3 linked regions of the Caenorhabditis elegans genome follow. The protein of the gene in region 2 purifies or fractionates together with the protein of the main gene of each other region. This does not show direct contact. Each region holds a gene or a part of one and is shown on either strand. Other genes may lie near its edges.

Region 1 (6,709 bases), on a different chromosome or scaffold from region 2:
AGTGTGTGAAGCAAGGTAGAGAAAAAAGGTGAATAAGAGCAGAGGTGCAAAGGAAAGAGTTACAAATCAATTGTAGTGCAAATATTGCGTTTTTTGTTGGATGACCCTTATTAACCGTTCACACATCTTTCATTGAAGAAAGGAGAGTGATAAAGTAATATAGGGAGAAGAGAAGAAACATTCGAATATAAAATTGAAAACCATGTCGGTAGAAGAAGAACAACTTTAAAATTCATATACAACGGCAAAGTTTTTTCTAAAACACTTCTAAAAAACTAGACATTAAACAAAAAATTTTGTTTTTTTTTAATTCTGGGTAGATGAATGCGTTTTTCAAGTCAAGTCATAAATAGTATTTATTTATGAAGATAAAATATTTTTATTTTTCAAATTGTTGAATTTTGAGCAGGAGTAAAACTAATTTTCTAAATATTATTGTAACTTCAGTTTTAAATTACATTTTCTCAAGTATCAATTTTTCCTATAATAAAAAGAAAGGGTATAGAACTCTACTAGCCATTTGGATAAAATATGGAATACAATATAATTATAGTAATTAGAACGATGTATACGAGCATAATTAGGCGAAAGGCGGCCCATACAACTCGCAAAATATAGTTCTTACTGTTCTCCGAAGATGCGCGCCGTCGACAAGGTAATACCGACTGAGGCTGTTCAGATATGCCTAACAATGCCCTCACGACATTTTCGAGATCGCATAATTGTCGTCGAGAGCGGTAATCCTGGGAATCTGTGGGACATACGGAAGGTAAAAAGATTGAAGACGTGAGACGAGATGGTGACACAAGAAAGAGAAAAATGAGAGCAGGTGTACATTTGACTGACACTAGTGCTCCGTTGACAACCTGTGACTGAGGATTACCTTATTTCACAAAAAGAACACACAAAAACCCAGTGAGAAATGATCGTCTCAGTTCATTGTTCTGACACCTTTCCGTGCGCGAAATTGGTTGGATTAACGTCCAGTGAGGAACGTATTGAAGATGAAACGAACGTGCTAATTAAATGAACGATGAGGATGATGATGGGTGCCGTTTGCCATCTATTAGGCATGGATTACCTGGCTTAACGTTCTCGAATTGCTTGAATCGACAGCCACTGTGCAAAGGGTAATTGTATACACTTCTAACACGGGAACACCGGAGACAAAACGTACTGCTAAAACTGAGACTAACACGCCTATTGTTCTGGTTTCGTACTTCGACTGCTAGTAGTCAGCGCGTTCGTCTCATTCTCATTGTCCGGATCCCCATGTTGACAGGAACCAAAAGTATTAGACTTTTGTTTTTTAATAAAAAAATGAAACGGTAAATCATGAATCATTCCTCAAATATTTTTCAGCCACCAGCTTCCATTAAGTCAATTTTGACAATTTTTCCAAAAAAATATTTGGTGTAAGAGCAAAAAAAAAGAAAGTGATATCACAAGAGATTAATTGAAAAATTCCTGAAGCACACTCCTGTGAACAAGCTAAAGTTTTTTGGTCGCTCACAATGAAGCGGACATAAATCATTATCAGACTAGAGGATTAAAAGTTTGTAATGTTGCGGTAAAATCTTTAAACTATATAAGCATAATCAGAGAAGTGCAAATTTAGTTAATTCAAAATGTTAGATCATAAATTCAGTTATTCAATGTGACCGTATTCATATTAATTTGGAGCCGATTTTCTCATAAGCTGTTGAAAATATCTATTCACCACCGGGCAGATCGTAAACCATCTGATTGAATACAGATTTCCTTATGTAATCTATCCGTATTGTGCAATACTTTTGACGCGACAACGAGGGCAAGAAATGGCACTGTGTGCAGCTGCGCGCGTTGAAGCAGATGCTTGTAACGACATAAAAGAGCTCCTGCGTTGAAGAGATGGCACACAAATGGGGGCACGATTCCATCACATATCATCAAATTGAGAAGAGTCAAGGAATGGACAAGGACGTTTGGACAGAAATCAGATTTGGATAGCGTAGATTTCGAGTAAAAAACCCCGCGTCAAAAAAGTTTCCTCAGCAAAAAAGAGAAAGTTGTGCGTATGGGTAGGGTCAAGCACGAGGCAAGCCCTGTTGACCAAACATATAAAGTGAGAGGCGAAAAATGTGGGGAAGGACGGAGATGGTCCTATTTGGTCGGCTCAACCTCATAAAGTTGCGTCACCGTACCTGTGGCCAGGTGTGTGCAGGATGGAGCAAACGAGGAGGCAACGATTGGAAGATAAGCCTAATGACTGGGTGTTCAGACGTACAATGCGGGTCCGTTTGGAACAATTACAATTTTTCTTGGTCAATTCAAGACGGATGGTGATATTTATAAGGATGAAAGAAGAACGGATGACGAGAGCTAATCAGAAATGGACATGCGATACGTTACGGCTACGAAGAGAGAGGAGGAGGAAAATGGCATGCAACATTTGAGCAGTCTAATAAAGCCGAACACAGATGAAGAACGAAGCGGTGGCCAATATTCAATCTGCATAATAAATAAGCGATCCGTACAAACAAAGACGTTTCCTTCGTGGTCTTCCGTCCTTCCGACACTCCCTACGGACCATGAACCGACCGACATAAGAAGGCCAGCTCCCACGGGAGCTTTTGGTATGGTGTCTCGAATGAATTTTGCATATAAATAGAAGAAACCGACCGAAACATATTGAAAACGGAGATTCGATTTATTTTCCATCTTATCTTTTATTGAGTCAGTTCAGAGGGGTTTCAATTGTCACTTTGACACCTTATTAGCAACCGAACAAAGAGTGCCGGATTTGCTAAGTGAGTGTAAAAACAAGATTATAAAAACAGTGGGCCTTCTTATTCTAGTCTTTTGAATGTTTTGATTGACGTAAGATCTTGGGCCACTTTGTTTCTTTTGAGAATTGCGAAGACGAACATTGTTGAGTAAAATTTAGTAGGGACGAAATTTTTTGAGAATAACAAAACATTTTATGTGCGCCAAAACTTTTTTCGATTTTTTGGTTCTTCAAAAAACTGAAAAACGGAAATTTTCGCTTTTGAGAAAACTGCAAAAACAAATTCTGAAAACACTCCAAAATCGGTATTTTTATACAGAATGCAATATTTTTATTACTGATGACGCCCTATTTCATACAAACAACATACATAAATTGCACTTTTTCAAACTGGACCCTAATTTTTTTTCGATTTTTTGGGTTTTTCGGCTTTTTGACCCACACCGCAAAATTGAAAAACCGAAAAACGTGAAGAACGGAAAACAACATTTTTTGTTAAGATTTAGGTTATTTAGAGAAAAAACTCGGTTTTTCGAAAAAAAAAAACTAGCAGACAATTCATATAATACCTAAAAACCAGGATGTTTTCGAGTTAAGTGAATGTTTCAAAATAAGGACGTCACTCTGAAGTCGTACGAAAATTTTTTTTGAAACACCTATCTCTGTACACATATGAGTAGTCACAACATTTGTGGCTTCGTACACCTTTGAAGTGTTTTTGAATGCACAAACATGACGCCGCTTTTTTTGGATTTGTGCCAAGAAGCAGAATAAGTTTTTCAGGCAAATACAAAAGAAAACATCTCGTTTTCTGTGTACAAAACTACATATATCAGGAAACGAGATTTAGTAAAACATTTTATAAGACTAAAAGAATTGTTTAGTTACATAGGAAAATTTTTTTAATGCCTCGAAAAACTTCCGGGCACGCGTTCGAAACTGGCATTAAAAAAAGTCTCACCTCTATGTGTTTATCAATAAGCCGGGACTAAAAAATGGGTGCGCCAAATTGAAATTTCGTTTTCGATTCTAATCACAAGTTCGGTTCAATACACGTTGTCGTTCTGAAAATCGAAAGTAACTTTTGCAACATATACGTTCAAGACATGAAATGGAGCGGAAAACTTCAAAAAGGGGTGTCCTTTTGAAACTTGGCAAAAAGCGATTTGTATCAGTTGACAGACTAATTTACGATAATGTACATATTGAAGAAACTTTCAAATTGGAACTTCTGAGATCTGATGAATATAGGTTTTTCAAAAAAGAATAAAAAAGCTAGCAATGTGTATAGTTTTGATGTGAAAATAAATATCGTAAGAGAAAAAGAAACACTGTCAGTTGCATACCTCATAAATATAATCAAGGAGGTATTGAAATTGCCGAAAAAACGGTTATCAGAGGAAAGAGATAGCAAGTACGAAATGAAGAATGCAACCTGGAAAATTCGCTTTCTCTTTTGTTGCATCCCTCCTTGTTGATAACACACTATGAATGTGGTTTTGACAAGAAAAACATACGCACACAGTTTGAAGCATTTTTTTTTCTTGTCACCAACCATTCGGATGAATTATACCCGAAAATGTGTGTACACTCGTTGGAGGATAGGGGAAAAAGAGAAAATGGTCAAGGTAGGTAAACAGAAAGCTTTCATAAACGTTTTTCTTACCATTTTTTTGCCTTTTCTTGGGCATAAAAGTTAGAGTTACTACAATGAATGTCAGTGTGGTTTGTACTATTTTCTGCATACGCAGAGGGAAATCAAAAATATCAATAGAGCGAAGAAAAGCGGTGAGTTTCAAAAAGGCTCTTCCCATGAAATATAACCCCCATTGTAATTAAAATTCTGAAAAAAAAACCAGAGTGCAATGAGTTTTTGAATGCGCCGTCTATATGCGTGGCAAGGGAATACAGCTATTTTCATTTTATCATATGTATATTTTCATATCTATATGAAGTTTGCAAATATATAAAACAAATTTTTTACTAATTTCGAAGAGCACATTTAAAAAAGTTGAAATTTAAACGAAGATATTAGATTGCAAATATCAATCTGTAGTTTTGTTTGATTTTGAAGTTATTCAAAACATAAAACGGTAATGGATTTTCAAAAGAAATAAAATAGAGTCTAACAAAACAGAAAATTAGGATTTCCAACAATTTTTGCTTTTGATAAGACACGCTAGATGTTGTTGATCATAAAGCCACGGTAATCATTGTCCTGGCCAAATGTAGAACTAATTAAATTTTGCGACAAAGTCCCTGTTGTCATAAAAATGTGATTTTTCCAGTCCTACGTTATTTAGAATTTAACACGATCCGTCCTGCTATTCAAGGAAAAATAAAATCAGGGCGTTTCTTGTTAGTGGTTTCTCGGTATGTGTGTCCAATACACTAATTACTCGATGGTGATTGAAATCAAATATCAAGACAGGAAAGAGGACACGAGTAACTGATAAAGGTCAAATGCACATTAAACTTAACGCACAAAAAGTTAGGCAATGTCGTAGAAAGTGGTGTGTGAGGAGATAGAATGGTGAGTCAGGAACGGTAGAGGGTTTTCTATTCGAAAGAATAAAAATCTGTTTTCTAGTAAAATTGAAAAGAGTGAGAGATTGAGAGAAAAATAATGGAATAAAATCGGAATGGTGTTTACATCATTTCCATATTAAAATTTTGAATTGGAAATTTAAAATACAAACTACTGGTACATATAGGAATATGAGATACTTTGAATTTTCAAATTTACAGTTTAGATATAACTGCATAATAATACCTTTTGAAAAAGATTCTTATACTTCTTCAAGGTCATCAATTAACAGAAACAAAACAAAAAAAAAGATTGCGTGGTTCAAAGATATAGTTTCATATTTCTTGCAATTGCATTCAAAAAGCAAGCAAAATGACCTTCCGAGTGAAGCGAGTAAAAAACGAGGACCAAGCCAGTTTGACCAAATGTCTCACTATTATATGATCCGATTCGTAGACTGCAACGATGAGAATAATAATTGTAGAGTATCAAATGAATAGTGGGGCAATTTTGAAAGAAGAAAAGTGGAATGAGAGGAAAATAGCCAATGGTCACAATGGCTAAAAACGACCACATGAGGCTCACGTCCCTGTATTGACCACTAATGAAGATAATTTAAGTGAAACGTTTAAATAATATGATTTGGTCGGTTCACAATAATAAAAAATTAATTTCTCGTTGTATTTAGTTAACTAATGGAATTACGCTCATAATTTTTCCGATCCTGCGGAACTTCAGATAAATAATTTTTTGTCATATTATGACATGTGCATGCAGTACAGAATAAAAATGCAAGATTATTACAATTTGGCAATTTGTTTCGAATATTTACTTCACTGGAGAAGTATGTTGTTCAATTACTACTAATTATCAAAATTAAAACATTCTTAGGAAACGAAAAATTGACTACCAAAAATAATAATGAACTAAGAAAATTTTTGAAAACAATGAGCTATATCCATATCCATCGGAGCCAATGTTGACACTACAACCTGTCGAGAAAACAAAGTGAAAAGTGGATATGCATGCAGGAGGTGTCCGGTTTCGAAACCGATTGAATTATCCTAATGAATTTGGCAGCGAAATACAATAACGTAAAGAAGCAAAAGTGATGGAACAGAACGTAGTGTTTTGCTCCGGCCGGCATTGACATGGTCAGTGCACGCTAAGCCAGATGACAAATAAGAATGTCATGGTTACGGCGGGTTACGAACCCGGGTCACAGTTGAAATGTTTCTCAACAAGCGGAGACGTTTTATGGATGTCGCATTCTTCTGGATTCACACTTTTGAATTCTTAGAAAATTGAAAGTTTAGAAGAAGTATCGAAAGTAAAACGCAACCTTCTTTTGTTGATACTTTCAAATAAACAGAAGAAGATTTGAGATTTATGAGTAGGAACAAACGTGGAAAAGG
Region 2 (5,002 bases):
CTTTTTTCTGGCTTCCCGGAGTGTTTACCCACACAACATGTTCAGTGCAATTGAGACCATTTTCGGAAAGAGAGAGAGATCAACATCAAAACAATAATTCTATTTAAAGAGAAATAGAGATTGTCGCAAATTAGAGGAAGTTAGAAAATCATTCTATTTATTTGGATCTTATCATTAAAAGGTAGAGGAGGTCATTCAAGGCCGAAAAAATACAAAAAAGAAATATCCTTGAGGAGAAATACGAATAAAAAGAAACGGATACCGTATTTCTTCTATTAATATGGCTGCAATACTATTTTTCGATGGTCTTCCCGCTTGCAATACTAATAGGGAGTGCAAGACTATTAGGGAGTGCAATACTAATTTTCAGAACATTTTTTTGACTTTGAGCTTACTAGTTTTTTTCTGAAAAAGCTCGAATCTTTATGTAAAAATTCAGAAAATTTGATTTTAATTGTAACATATAAGTTCAACAACTTCAATCTCGTAGAAATTTTGTGAAAAACTGTAGCAAAATAGGCAATTTTTTTTGTTGAAATCCTGAAATTAACGAGACGGGCCTGCAATAAAAAAGAGTAAACGCAAGACTATTATGGTGCGTCCATAGTCTGCGGAAAACGGGAATTTCCCGCGTGCGGAAGCGTCCATAGTCTGCGGAAAAACCGGAGTTCCTCGCTTTTTTTTCCTCAAAATTCAAAAAAGTAGGCGTGGCCAACCAATCAGCTGTTGTTTCTTGTTTTCCCATTGCTCAGCTTAAAATTTTACAGCCTCTAATTGGTTGAACACGCCCACTATTTTGAAATTGACCAATAACAAAGCGAGAAACTCCTTGTTTTTTTCCGCAGACTATGGACGCTTCCGCACGCGGGAATTTCCCGTTTTCCGCAGACTATGGACGCACCATTAGAGAGTGCAAGACTAATAGGGAGTGCCATACTAATTTTCGGAAGGTCTCCGAGGGGCAACACTAATAGGGAGTGCAAGTCTAATAGGGAGGCAATATTAATAGAAGATATACGGTATTCTATTAAAACTGGTATTGGTTACTGTTATGTTTGCAATAATTGAGAATAAAATAACAATATTAATAATATGAACTCGGCATTTAGAAAAAACCTGAACTTTAAAAATTTTTACTTTTTGAGAAGTTGTCAGATCTAAGACCTCTTTTTTTCTTCTGATACATGGAAGAACCCAATTTATGATAAAATAAGGGACAACTGGGATATGACCTGTCAAGTTTGACTTTAATTGTTGCCACGCGCTTTCAAGTTTTTAAAGTAATCATGCTTCGGAGTAATTCTAATTAAATTTTATTAATTAAGCAATGAAAAATTTATAAAATAATTATTACAAATGATACATTTAGTGCTTTCCTCCACGATGTCCTCCTCTGAAATGTGGACGACTCTTCCACAAATCGAAAAGTTCTTCCTTGGCCTTTTCGCTGAGATCTCCAAGAATTTCAAACTTCTGCTTGTTCAATGCTTCAATCTTTTCATGTGCCTTCTTTGCTTCATCAGACAATTTTGTTTCCTTCTCCTTGTATTCCTTATCTTCCTTTTCCTTCTTCTCCTTGAACTCCTTGAATTTCTTCAAGTTATCTCCATCAAGTTCCTTCTCAGCAAGAGCTTCAATCTTTTCTGGCTTCTCACTCCATGGAACTGATCTGTCCTTGAAAATAGCTTCGAATTTTGCAAGTTTGTCTTTTGGAAGTCCCTTAAGGAATGGAAGAGTTGGTCTTTTGTGAAGATTTTTGCGAGCATCCTTTGGAAGAGAATCGATAACTTCACGAGTCAATCCTTGTTCCTCATAACACTTATCTCCTTCTTTGTAATCCTTCCAGATATCATTAATCTTTTCCTGGGCATCTTCTGGAAGACTGTCCAAGAATGGTGGAATTCCACAAGGTGGAGATCTCTGGAAAAAATTCGTTGATAATTGAAAGGATCGCAAGACTGTAAAGGCCTAAAAGCTATTCTACACTTTCATCCGATAAAGATTTCGGAATCTTTCATTCTCAAGTTCAAAACATTTATTTTTCAATGTCTAGCTAGAAAAAACAAAAAACAGCGCATAAATTGAATAGAAATAAAACTTACTCTTCCTCCAGGCTTTGCCTGAACTGAAACAATAGCTAGTAGAATAGCGAAAAGAATCTTCATGGCTGAAGATGACTGACTTCAATATCAAGAGTTGGAGATTTTATACCCAATTTACCGTCTCGGCGAATACAATAACATTGGAGGCGTAGACATAGAATGAGATGAAGAATAATGATAAATTCATTTGGAACAGATCTTTTGATTTGGTCATCGTTGTGTGTGGGTTTGGAAAAGGTTGACAACTGAAGATGTGTGGAGTGTTTTTTTGAATTAAAACATTTTGAAGATAGTGGAAGAAGTCAGAAGAAAATAAATCATTTGAAAGAAACATCAAGTTTAAAAGTAGTTCCCTCATTTTAAATTGAACTTATCAAGAGACATCGGAGTCAGGTAAATTATATAGTTTCTAATCTGAAAGCAGAACATTTCCAACTGATCTTGCTCTCTTTTCCCGCTGTTTGGCGCACACTTGGCATTGGAAGATTGTGCTCAAAATGTCCAGGTTGTCTTTTCATCGAGCTTTTGCCAATATTCGGAAAAGATTGGCCAGAATTGATAACAGAGGCTTATCCAAATCCTGCACAAGCTTTACCAAAGACTTTCCAAGTTTTCAACCAGATTATTATCTTTTTGGGTTGATTTGCTAGGTTGGCGCCAAACGCCTGGAGATATTGGTTGACCTATAATATAAAAATTGATAACTAATAAGACACAAATTGAACATTTTTTGTTTACAGAAAAACATGTTTCGATTGATGCAAATTCTACAATCACATTGAACATTTGAGGATTAATTTCTAAATGCTGTTGGTGTATTTTATCTCGAATATTTCATTTTCCAGTTTCTCACCAAACCTTTTCCAAACCATTTCATTCTTTGTTCAAATCACATTCAATTCCCATTGTTTTAGCCAAATCAAAGCAATTTGCTGAGACTGAAACTTTTAATATAAATTTAACATTTTAACAATACAAAATATTTTATACTGTTCAATTCAGATATTCGACCAATTTTTCATGTTTCATTTTTAGAATATTTTGACAAAATCCCAAGTGGCGCTTCTCCAACAACCGTAGTTTTTAGACAGGGTAGAACATGTTATGTAAATGAAAATACATTAAAGTCAATTGTGTTTTTTGTTTCACTATATTTTTTAAAGTTTGTTCATTATCAATAACTTTTCAATGTCACTTTCAACACATTTTTCTTGTTGGCATACACTGCACGTTGATCATCAAAGTTCAATTGAATTCAAAAAATGATTCTTGTTTCAATTTCTATCAACTTGTTCTTTCTGTAGAACTGGTGATGATCTTCTTAGATGAAACTGAACTATTACAAAATTGACCACACAGTCATTCAAATCTTCTTTGGTCTTCGTCGAATCTTTAAAATGAATGACATCATCAGCAAGTTGTCATAATGAAAGTGAATAGCTGTTATCTCCTTTCTTTTGTCGAGTGTATTTTTCTTCGAACGGCAAAAAATGATATGTACCGAACGGAAAAATGGGCGGCGCCTTCCAAAACAACAACAACCGCTGAGATCAGCATCAAAATCGGAGAAAGGGGGTATGTTTGAGTACAGAGCACTGTTTGGCGAAGGGTTCGGTTTCTGAATGGTATAAAAGGACAAGAATTTGGATGAAAAGGACATCATTCAACAATGATTTCTAATATCTTTAAAATCTCAGCTGCTCTTCTTCTTTTGACTATTGTATCTGAAGCTAAGCCTTGCTTCGGAAGATGTGGAGGTGTAAGTTTTTCTTCTTTTTTTTTAATTTCCAAAAATTCTGACAATTTAAAAAAGCTTTTATTTTAGGTTTAATTTTTTGGTTTAATTTAAGGTTTAATTTTTTAAATGCTACATACATTTTACCAAAATTCAAATATTCGAAATTGAAAAATCCAACCTAAATTTAAATTTCGTTTTATGCTCAAGAAATTTCATAGAAGTTTCTACTTTAATCAGCCGCTAAGTGCAAATTAATGAACTGTATTTCCTATTTTAATAGCCATATAAAACTCCGTCTCAAACTACAAACATTCCAGCGTCCACCACCACCATGCGGACTTCCACCATTCCTTGAGGATCTTCCTTCTGATGTTCAAACCAAGATAACTGAAATCTGGAAAGATTACAAAGAAGGAGACAAGTGTTATGAAGAACAAGGATTAACTCGTGAAATCATGGAATCTCTTCCAAAGGATGTTCGTAAGAGCATTCACAAGAGACCACCACTTCCATTCCTTCGTGGACTTCCAAAGGACATCCTTGCCAAGTTTGATGCTATTTTCAAGGATAAGTCAATCCCATTCAGTGAGAAGCCAGAGAAGATTGATGCTCTCGCTCAAGAAGTTCTTACTGGAGATAACTTGAAGAAATTCCAAGAATTCAAAGAGAAAAAGGAGAAGGAAATGCAAGAGTACAAAGACAAGGTAAGAATAAAAAAAAAGATTTTTACTCAAAAGGATGTTGAATATCATTCTTTCAGGAATCGAAGCTCTCCGCAGCTGCCAAGGTAGCCAACGAGAAGCTTGAAGCTCTCGGAAAACAAAAGTTTGCAATCCTCGAAGAACTTGATGAGAACGTGAAGGATGAGCTTTTCGATTTGTGGAAGAGCCGTCCTCATGGACCACCAAGACATCACTAGACGATAATTTGACAGCGATTTTTGTAAATATCTATGACAGAATTTTATTCATTCCCGATTTCCCGATCACTTTTAATTTATATTGAAAAATACATATATTTAAGATTGAATAATAAAGATTTCTATAAAAACTTTTGTGTACAAATAATAATTGGTTCCCAAATCTAAAGATGGAATAGTAAAGATATTATTAAAATATACGTAAATTGGGCGAAAAACATTCTGAATTTTTAAATTTTCAAA
Region 3 (8,111 bases), 7.3 Mb from region 2:
CAGATTCTCTTGATTCCCAAACTATCAATCGTTCGACATATCAAGGTGGTACTGGAGAAAGATATGCTGCAGCAAGACCCAAAGATGGAATTGATCGTCCAACAGATTCTCTTGATTCTCAAACTATCAATCGTTCGACATATCAAGGTGGTACTGGAGAAAGATATGCTGCAGCAAGACCCAAAGATGGAATTGATCGTCCAACAGATTCTCTTGATTCTCAAACTATCAATCGTTCGACATATCAAGGTGGTACTGGAGAAAGATATGCTGCAGCAAGACCCAAAGATGGAATTGATCGTCCAACAGATTCTCTTGATTCTCAAACTATCAATCGTTCGACATATCAAGGTGGTACTGGAGAAAGATATGCTGCAGCAAGACCCAAAGATGGAATTGATCGTCCAACAGATTCTCTTGATTCTCAAACTATCAATCGTTCGACATATCAAGGTGGTACTGGAGAAAGATATGCTGCAGCAAGACCCAAAGATGGAATTGATCGTCCAACAGATTCTCTTGATTCTCAAACTATCAATCGTTCGACATATCAAGGTGGTACTGGAGAAAGATATGCTGCAGCAAGACCCAAAGATGGAATTGATCGTCCAACAGATTCTCTTGATTCTCAAACTATCAATCGTTCGACATATCAAGGTGGTACTGGAGAAAGATATGCTGCAGCAAGACCCAAAGATGGAATTGATCGTCCAACTGATTCTCTTGATTCTCAAACTATCAATCGTTCGACATATCAGGGAGGTACTGGAGAAAGATATGCTGCAGCAAGACCCAAAGATGGAATTGATCGTCCAACTGATTCTCTTGATTCTCAAACTATCAATCGTTCGACATATCAGGGAGGTACTGGAGAAAGATATGCTGCAGCAAGACCCAAAGATGGAATTGATCGTCCAACTGATTCTCTTGATTCTCAAACTATCAATCGTTCGACATATCAGGGAGGTACTGGAGAAAGATATGCTGCAGCAAGACCCAAAGATGGAATTGATCGTCCAACTGATTCTCTTGATTCTCAAACTATCAATCGTTCGACATATCAGGGAGGTACTGGAGAAAGATATGCTGCAGCAAGACCCAAAGATGGAATTGATCGTCCAACTGATTCTCTTGATTCTCAAACTATCAATCGTTCGACATATCAAGGTGGTACTGGAGAAAGATATGCTGCAGCAAGACCCAAAGATGGAATTGATCGTCCAACTGATTCTCTTGATTCCCAAACTATCAATCGTTCGACATATCAAGGTGGAGTTGGTGATAGGTCAAATATAATCAAGCATGGGACGACTCTTGAATTCGGATCAGGGAAAGTGACAGATCAATCCGTATCAAGGTGAGTTTATTTGTGATGTACTTTGAAACAATTCCCTAATTCTGCAATTCTCCGAATTATTTTCAGATTGACATACACCCAATTTCCCATCGAACGAATGTCATTGTCAGTTCCAGTGGAAAAGTGGATCACTGCAGGAATGTCGTTTCCAACGGAGTACCTGACTGAACAAAAAAGCTCATTCCGTCCGAAACCGGCCAACTCAGAGTGCCCAGCTGTTCGTATAGTGAGCTCAAAGAAAAGAGCACCAAATCAGCACATGTACTTGTATTAGATTGTCTTTCTTTTTTTTAACTTGTGAATAAAAGTGTACTCATGAATTTGGAATATTTATTTAAACTGAGAAAATGAAAATGTCAAACTGGAAGTTTTGTACGCTTTGGCAAAATGAAAGACATTGGATAAAATTGCACTGGAAACTGAAGAAAGACAAAAACAAAAGCGAATTTGTAAACCCGAGGTGCATTAATTTCAAAACAATATAAAAGCATAATGAGTTACCGGTAATATCTAGGTGTCTCTGGTGTTTTCTTCCGGTTTAGAAGTTGTGTAATACTGTACGTTGTGCTCTTGAGGTCTGTTGAGTTCCCTATAAAATCTCCACTGCTGGTAATAACAATACATAATTAGAAAACATGAGAACATGAGAAACATCTGAATAGCTCCCAGAACCACTGTGAGCATACACGTGACGTCATCAATAAGACAATGCTTCACACTTGTCCAAAGATTTGGAGAATGCTTCACAACGATCACATCTCCTTCGTGGAACTCTCCGTTGTCATTGAACTCGAAGTCTGACTTGGGAGCTGGGAAGTCGAATTGCTTTGGTGAAGGAGGATTCAGAAGTGTCAATTTGTGTCCAGTTACTTTATATACATCACTTGTCAATTGCAGCTCCCTCGGCTCCCCGGCCAGAGACCTTCGGACCATACGATGTCGTGGAAGATCCAGTGATAAGGGGAGGGAATGAACGTTGGTCTCCTCCTCAGGAAGCATCATGTCTTGATTACATTTTGGCATGCATCCAACTGTACATGTCTCCATCATTGCATGGTACACCACTTCAGTCTAAAAAAATGTTACTTTAGACTTTGTATCATTTTTAGACTTTAAAACTTTAAGCGAGAAGTTAAAGTTTTTTCAGAACAAAAAAATTTGGCCGGAAATTCTACATTTCTTTTTAGAAAAGTCATGGCGAAAGAAATCACAACTTCTCAAGGAATGTTAAACGGAAAGTTCAAATTTTCCGAGAGACACATTCTAGCAGAAACTTTAAATTGAGTCAGAAGCGCCAAAAAAACAATTTTTACTGTGATATCAGGTCATTACCTCAGATTTTCTGTATGTTAAAGCAAAATCCCACAAAAACCCCAACGTAAAATAAACACAAACCTGTCGTCTAAATCCAGAAAAACTAATCTTCAATTTGACATAGTTATCTGTCTTCCGAATTTCTTTCACAATATCCCGCCGGAGAACACAACTGAAATAGGTCAAACATTTACGGTTAGGTATTTTTCCTGTCAGCTGACCCATCCTCATCGATGATGCGTAACACGCGACCCGTCTGAACATCCTTCGCCACTAAATTAGTAACTGTAAAATCTTCAGCCGAGTTCTTAACGGCAAGCATAATCCATCCATAGTCACCAATGTGAACTGTATCGGCTTCTGTTGAATCTAATCCGAGGATTTTCAGAGAGAATTTAGGGTTTGTTTGGGCAGGTGGGGCTGTGACAACGACAACATCTGACATTACTTGATTTGTCTTATTATTCTCACGAACATTCATTTGAACAGATAGGAATTGCTCTTCCGATGGCATACTTTTGTGAAGACGGCAGTTGACCTGAAAAATTGTAAATTTTTCACTTTATTCTGCTTGTTGAAAAAATACACGCCAGACACCTGCCGGGTCTGCAATCACCGAAGTTTACGGCTTAATGTTTTCATAGAAAGCTTCGAATATTGGAATAGTCTTCATCCTAATGTAAGAAGAATTCAGTCTAAGCCTAAGCATACGCCTACGCCTAAGCCAAAGCCTAAGCATGTTTCAATGGCCTACCTGCAAAACTTTGTCCCTTATAGTCACCAAACTCGTGCTCCCTTCCTTCACATGCACCATACCCCGATATGTAGAATCTTTGGATTTCTGCAACTTTCAATTATTCTGATAATTCTCAAAAATCCTGAAAACTTACGTTAGGATCAAGTCCACACTTTTTAAAGTCAAACTTTGACGAAAAATCGTAGTTCCCCTCGTAATCTTCTTGACACATTATTTTCTTTGACTTTTTAGTCATCATTTTTCCGCTGAAGCGTACATAATTTTGGAAAAATTTTTTTTTGGGGTAAGCTTACATGAACATTCTCATCGAGCTAGCTTTGACTTCCAGATTGTCCTCGCGGCATTTTAGAGAGACTGAAAATTTTCAAATTTTCCACGAGTTTTCAGATGAAAAATTTAAGAAAATACCATTGTTCATCGAAAAAATTACTCACAATTAACACAATCATCCAAATCACCATGAAACAAATTCGGCTTCATTGATTCCAGCGGGCTTCTTCCTAGCATTCTAGCAGATGCCCACATTAAGTTACATTCGTTGGTTGAGTTGTCATAGGTATAGGATCTGAAAAAAATTTCAGCTTTTACAGATAATAGTTTAAGCCTTCAACAAACCTGCAAACATCTGAAATGCGACTTCTTATCACACACATTTGTTCACATTCATCAAAACTTCCAACATTTTGAATCAACTGATCACTGACCGATTTCAGCCCACCCCCGTTGACACGCATAAATGTACACGCTGATGACGTCATCGCATCTGAAAATTTCGGAATTTTTTGTGCAAAAAAAATTGACCTACAATCAACGCAATTGTTTTCATAAAGATCCACAGAATAGCTTGCTTTGAAGTATAGTCTTGGATTGTACACAGAGTTAAGGGATACTCTGGATAACTGGCATAACGAGGTGTCATTGTTGTGCAGAGCAGCACGACAAGATGACCTGAGAAAAAAATTGACTGAAATTTAAAATAATGTCTTGAAAAGATTTTTAATTTTTTGAATATTTCCAGAATATTATTTAAAAAACAGTAAAATTTTTTAACGCATCGAAGTTTAACAAAACAGAACACACTTTTTTTTTTAAGTTTTTAATTCCAAAATGAAAAGTTTTATGTATGTAGGAACTTTTTTTACATTTATTTTGAAAAATAAAATTTGATGATAAGTTTTCGATCAGAAAATTTCAGATTTTTTACAAAGAAAATTCTTCAATAGACTTCAAATTGTTTCCATCATCACAACATATAATTTTAAAATTCAGAAATTATTTTGAATTTAAAAATATGTTATAAAACTGCATCGAACTCAAAAAATATTTTAAACTAATTTTCTAGAAAAAAAACGAAAAAATAATTTTTCAACTTTATCCCTTTTTCACTTTTTGCGGTTTTTAAGGTATATTATTAAAAACTAACTCTTTCTGACACTGTGACAAGCATTCTTCCATCGAAATCGAAAATGTCTTGATAATAAACGATGAGTTGACCAACGACCTCCCTGGGAACTTTTCAAACGCAAAACTTCTCTTCAAACATTTATCTGAAATTAAAGGGGTGAAAGTCAAAATGACCACCTCGCCGTCAATTACTCACTTTCCAAACAAGTTTTCGTTCCTACCGTCCGAGATCCAGATGTCGTTAAGACGGGTGACTTCGAGTGAAGATGGCAATTGAAACCACCGTTCTTCTTTTCAATGGGTTCGGCGTTCGAGAAAGTGAAATGCGTGCAGTTTGGTACCTGACGAGAGTTTTTCGGTCGTTTAGTGAAATTATATTAGCCAGGGAATTAGCTACTAGTTGCTATATGGCTTCCAAGGAGGCTAGATCCCAGCTCCCTTTAAGTTGAACTAGAATGCCGGCACATCCCGCGAAACGTCAGCCGCAAGACAAAAAAGCTTACCGATGAGCAAAACCTGGTGCATTGTGATAGACTATCCACAGATTTTCGAATAATAAGACTTGCAGTGGAGTTTACGGATTTCAAAGTCTCCAAGATAAAAGTGATCTCACATGGTGATACTGTAGACGGGAGTGTTGACAGAATAAGAATCAGGAGAAAGGGATATTTCATGGCATCACCTGGAAAAAAAAGAGGAAGTTGTAAGGAAAAAGCTTGGATATGGAAAAGTACGGAAAGACGGGAAATGTCTGTTTGTTAGTGTTTGTAGGATTTCCATTTATTTCTCTATTTCTAGATTTATGCAGACCTAGAAAAAGAAAACTGAACAAGTTTTAGTTCTGAGGAAGACCCTAGGCGGCATTTATGAGTCTTCCTGGAATAGTTTAAAGTTCGACAGAAAGATGAAAACGTTCGACAAAAGTATGACAAACTTCTACAGAAGGTTGAGGCGTAATACGATGAATTGCTCTTGCAATTGGACAACGTTTGACAGAAAGCTGTCAAAGTTTGAGTGGTCAGAAATGGAAAAACTTTCTACAGAAATATCACAAAGTTTGACAAAAAATAGGAAAACGTTTGGCAAAGTTATCACAACGTTCGAACAAAAACTGAGCTAATGGAACTCTTTTTGAAAATTCAAACGTAAAAAACCTCAAAAAGTCAAGCTATTTCGAAGATGTATGCAAAGTGAAACGGAACTTGGACAGGAAAAGTTTAAAGTTGCATTCGTTCCGGCAGGTTAATTAATGGACACCAGCAGTCGGAAGGGCGGTGAGGAGGGTAGGCGCATCGTCGGTTTAAACATGTTATGGGGTTACAAACGACTAGCATGAGTTATTCGAAATGGAGAGAAACGGGCGTTCTAATTGTTTGTAGAGTTTGGATTAAAATTTTTTTTTGACTTCAAAATTTCCAAAAAAAAAAAATTTGGAACTTCAAATTTTAAAAATCCTCGTAAATCTACACAAAACTCAGTACGTCTAAATGAAAATTTTTAGATATATATAAAAAATGGTAAACCTGCAAGAAACCACCTGAATCTACACAACCGTCATAAACCTTCAGAAATTCTGTAAATATACAAAATTGGTAGCATCTACATTAACACTTCGTATATCTACAAGGCGCCACGTAAATCCACACAAAATCTCGTATATAACAACACAGCTCAGTAAATCTACACAAAACACCAAAAAATTTGTTTTTAACTCCTATATTCATGGTTTAATGACATACCAGGTAAGTGGTTTGGCTTCTACCTACCACCCCAAAACGGGAAAACAGTAGACATATATCTATCGTTTCGGCGGTAAGCAAACATGCCGGACACTAAATGACCAGCAGCGGCCAGCCGACGATAATAGCAGGCCGCCGCCTGAGAGACGCAAACATACTGGAGAATCAAAAGGGCACAGAATCGAAAGTGACGGTTACACGGAAGTAGGTGAAAGTTTTGTCCAACTGACGCTGTGAAGCTTCATGGGATTCAGGTCACATATCCCAGCTGGGCAACCTGTTGATAGAATTGTGCAAAAAAGGTTCTCCCCGGCCGGGAATTGAACCCGGGTCTCGCATGTGACAGACGCGGATACTCACCACTATACTACCGAGGACACGGGAATGCAGTGTAATCGGTGCCATTAAAAAAAAGGAGAGAAATGAAAGAGATAGCGAGAGGCGAAAGTGGCAGGCAGCTGAACAAGCACAATGAGGAGACGGCTGGCAGTATAAGGGAGTACACAAAATTCAAACTCCTTAAATATGCAAGAAGGCCCTAAAATCTACTAAAAATCTAGCAAATTTACATGAACACACGTATATCTACAAAAATATCGTAATAATAAACAGAAATCTCGTAAATCTACACAAACCCTTGTAATCGACAATGAAAACTACAAAAAAAATTCAAAAACCTATTCAAAAGACCACGTAAATACACATAAAAATTTATAAATCTACACAAAATTCTGTTGGTCAACTTGTAAATCTACATCAAGCTTTGTAAATCTACACTAAACTGACGTAAATCTACACAAAACATGAACATTTGAATAATATTCTATGCATATTTCGATTTCTTCTGCATATTTTGTTTTCACTAATCTCAATTCAACACACATTATTCTCGGGAATATATCTACGCCCCTCTTGACTCTCTCTCTGCATCTCTTCAAATCTCACACACACTCTATCACAGCGTCCAGCAGAGAACCAATTGGTGGATTTATGAAACAATAAAGATGTGCGCGCAAAAAAAAAAACAACAAAAACGATGAGACAATCCGAAAAGAAAGTGACAAGCTGTTGAAGAGAGATTATCCGACGGGCGGTGGCGGAAAAGGTTCCGGATCAACTGGAATTATCTGATCCGGTGATTCGCTTGATTGGAAAACATTGAAAAAAGAATCAAGTAGGTTATGAGAATAGGTGTCCTGGAAATAATGTATATTTGCCACTAGACTACGAAAAAAACCATACCGTAAATCTACAAATATCCTCGAAAATATACAATCACTTCGGTAAACGCAGAACTTTGTAAATATTTCTGATGGTGAGCTCAGGTAAATCTACAATAAACCTTGTAAATCTACAAAAAATCTTTTAAAAAAGTACACAAAACTACGTAAATCTACATAATATCCATGTAAATCTACACCTATGTATATTCGTAAATCTACACAATATCTTGTAAATAAACCCAAAATCGCGTAAATCTACACTAAATCGAACGTATGTGGTAAATTTGGACGCATATCTCGTAAATCTACACTGAATC

Evidence for each region.
Region 1: the proteins of F57H12.6 (region 2) and dgn-1 fractionate together in Caenorhabditis elegans (co-fractionation; one large-scale study listed by BioGRID). This does not show direct contact.
Region 3: the proteins of F57H12.6 (region 2) and cutl-28 fractionate together in Caenorhabditis elegans (co-fractionation; one large-scale study listed by BioGRID). This does not show direct contact.

Annotation. Positions count from the first base shown.
Region 1 is NC_003284.9:10,925,168-10,931,876, forward strand, and holds the start of dgn-1 (Dystroglycan 1), read right to left. Parts: upstream 3,832-6,709; 5' UTR 3,729-3,831; intron 2,653-3,728; exon of another isoform or gene 2,448-2,652; intron 1-2,447.
Region 2 is NC_003282.8:7,974,132-7,979,133, forward strand, and holds F57H12.6 (DUF148 domain-containing protein), read right to left. Parts: upstream 2,180-5,002; 5' UTR 2,166-2,179; coding exon 2,103-2,165; intron 1,921-2,102; coding exon 1,366-1,920; 3' UTR 1,323-1,365; downstream 1-1,322. Other genes in the region: ora-1 (Onchocerca Related Antigen family), read left to right, coding at 3,772-3,861, 4,158-4,544, 4,601-4,759.
Region 3 is NC_003282.8:681,900-690,010, reverse strand, and holds cutl-28 (CUTiclin-Like), read right to left. Parts: upstream 5,515-8,111; 5' UTR 5,507-5,514; coding exon 5,336-5,506; intron 5,174-5,335; coding exon 5,029-5,173; intron 4,976-5,028; coding exon 4,852-4,975; intron 4,377-4,851; coding exon 4,234-4,376; intron 4,192-4,233; coding exon 4,044-4,191; intron 3,994-4,043; coding exon 3,863-3,993; intron 3,783-3,862; coding exon 3,722-3,782; intron 3,674-3,721; coding exon 3,562-3,673; intron 3,513-3,561; coding exon 3,426-3,512; intron 3,210-3,425; coding exon 2,893-3,209; intron 2,844-2,892; coding exon 2,753-2,843; intron 2,429-2,752; coding exon 1,868-2,428; 3' UTR 1,676-1,867; downstream 1-1,675.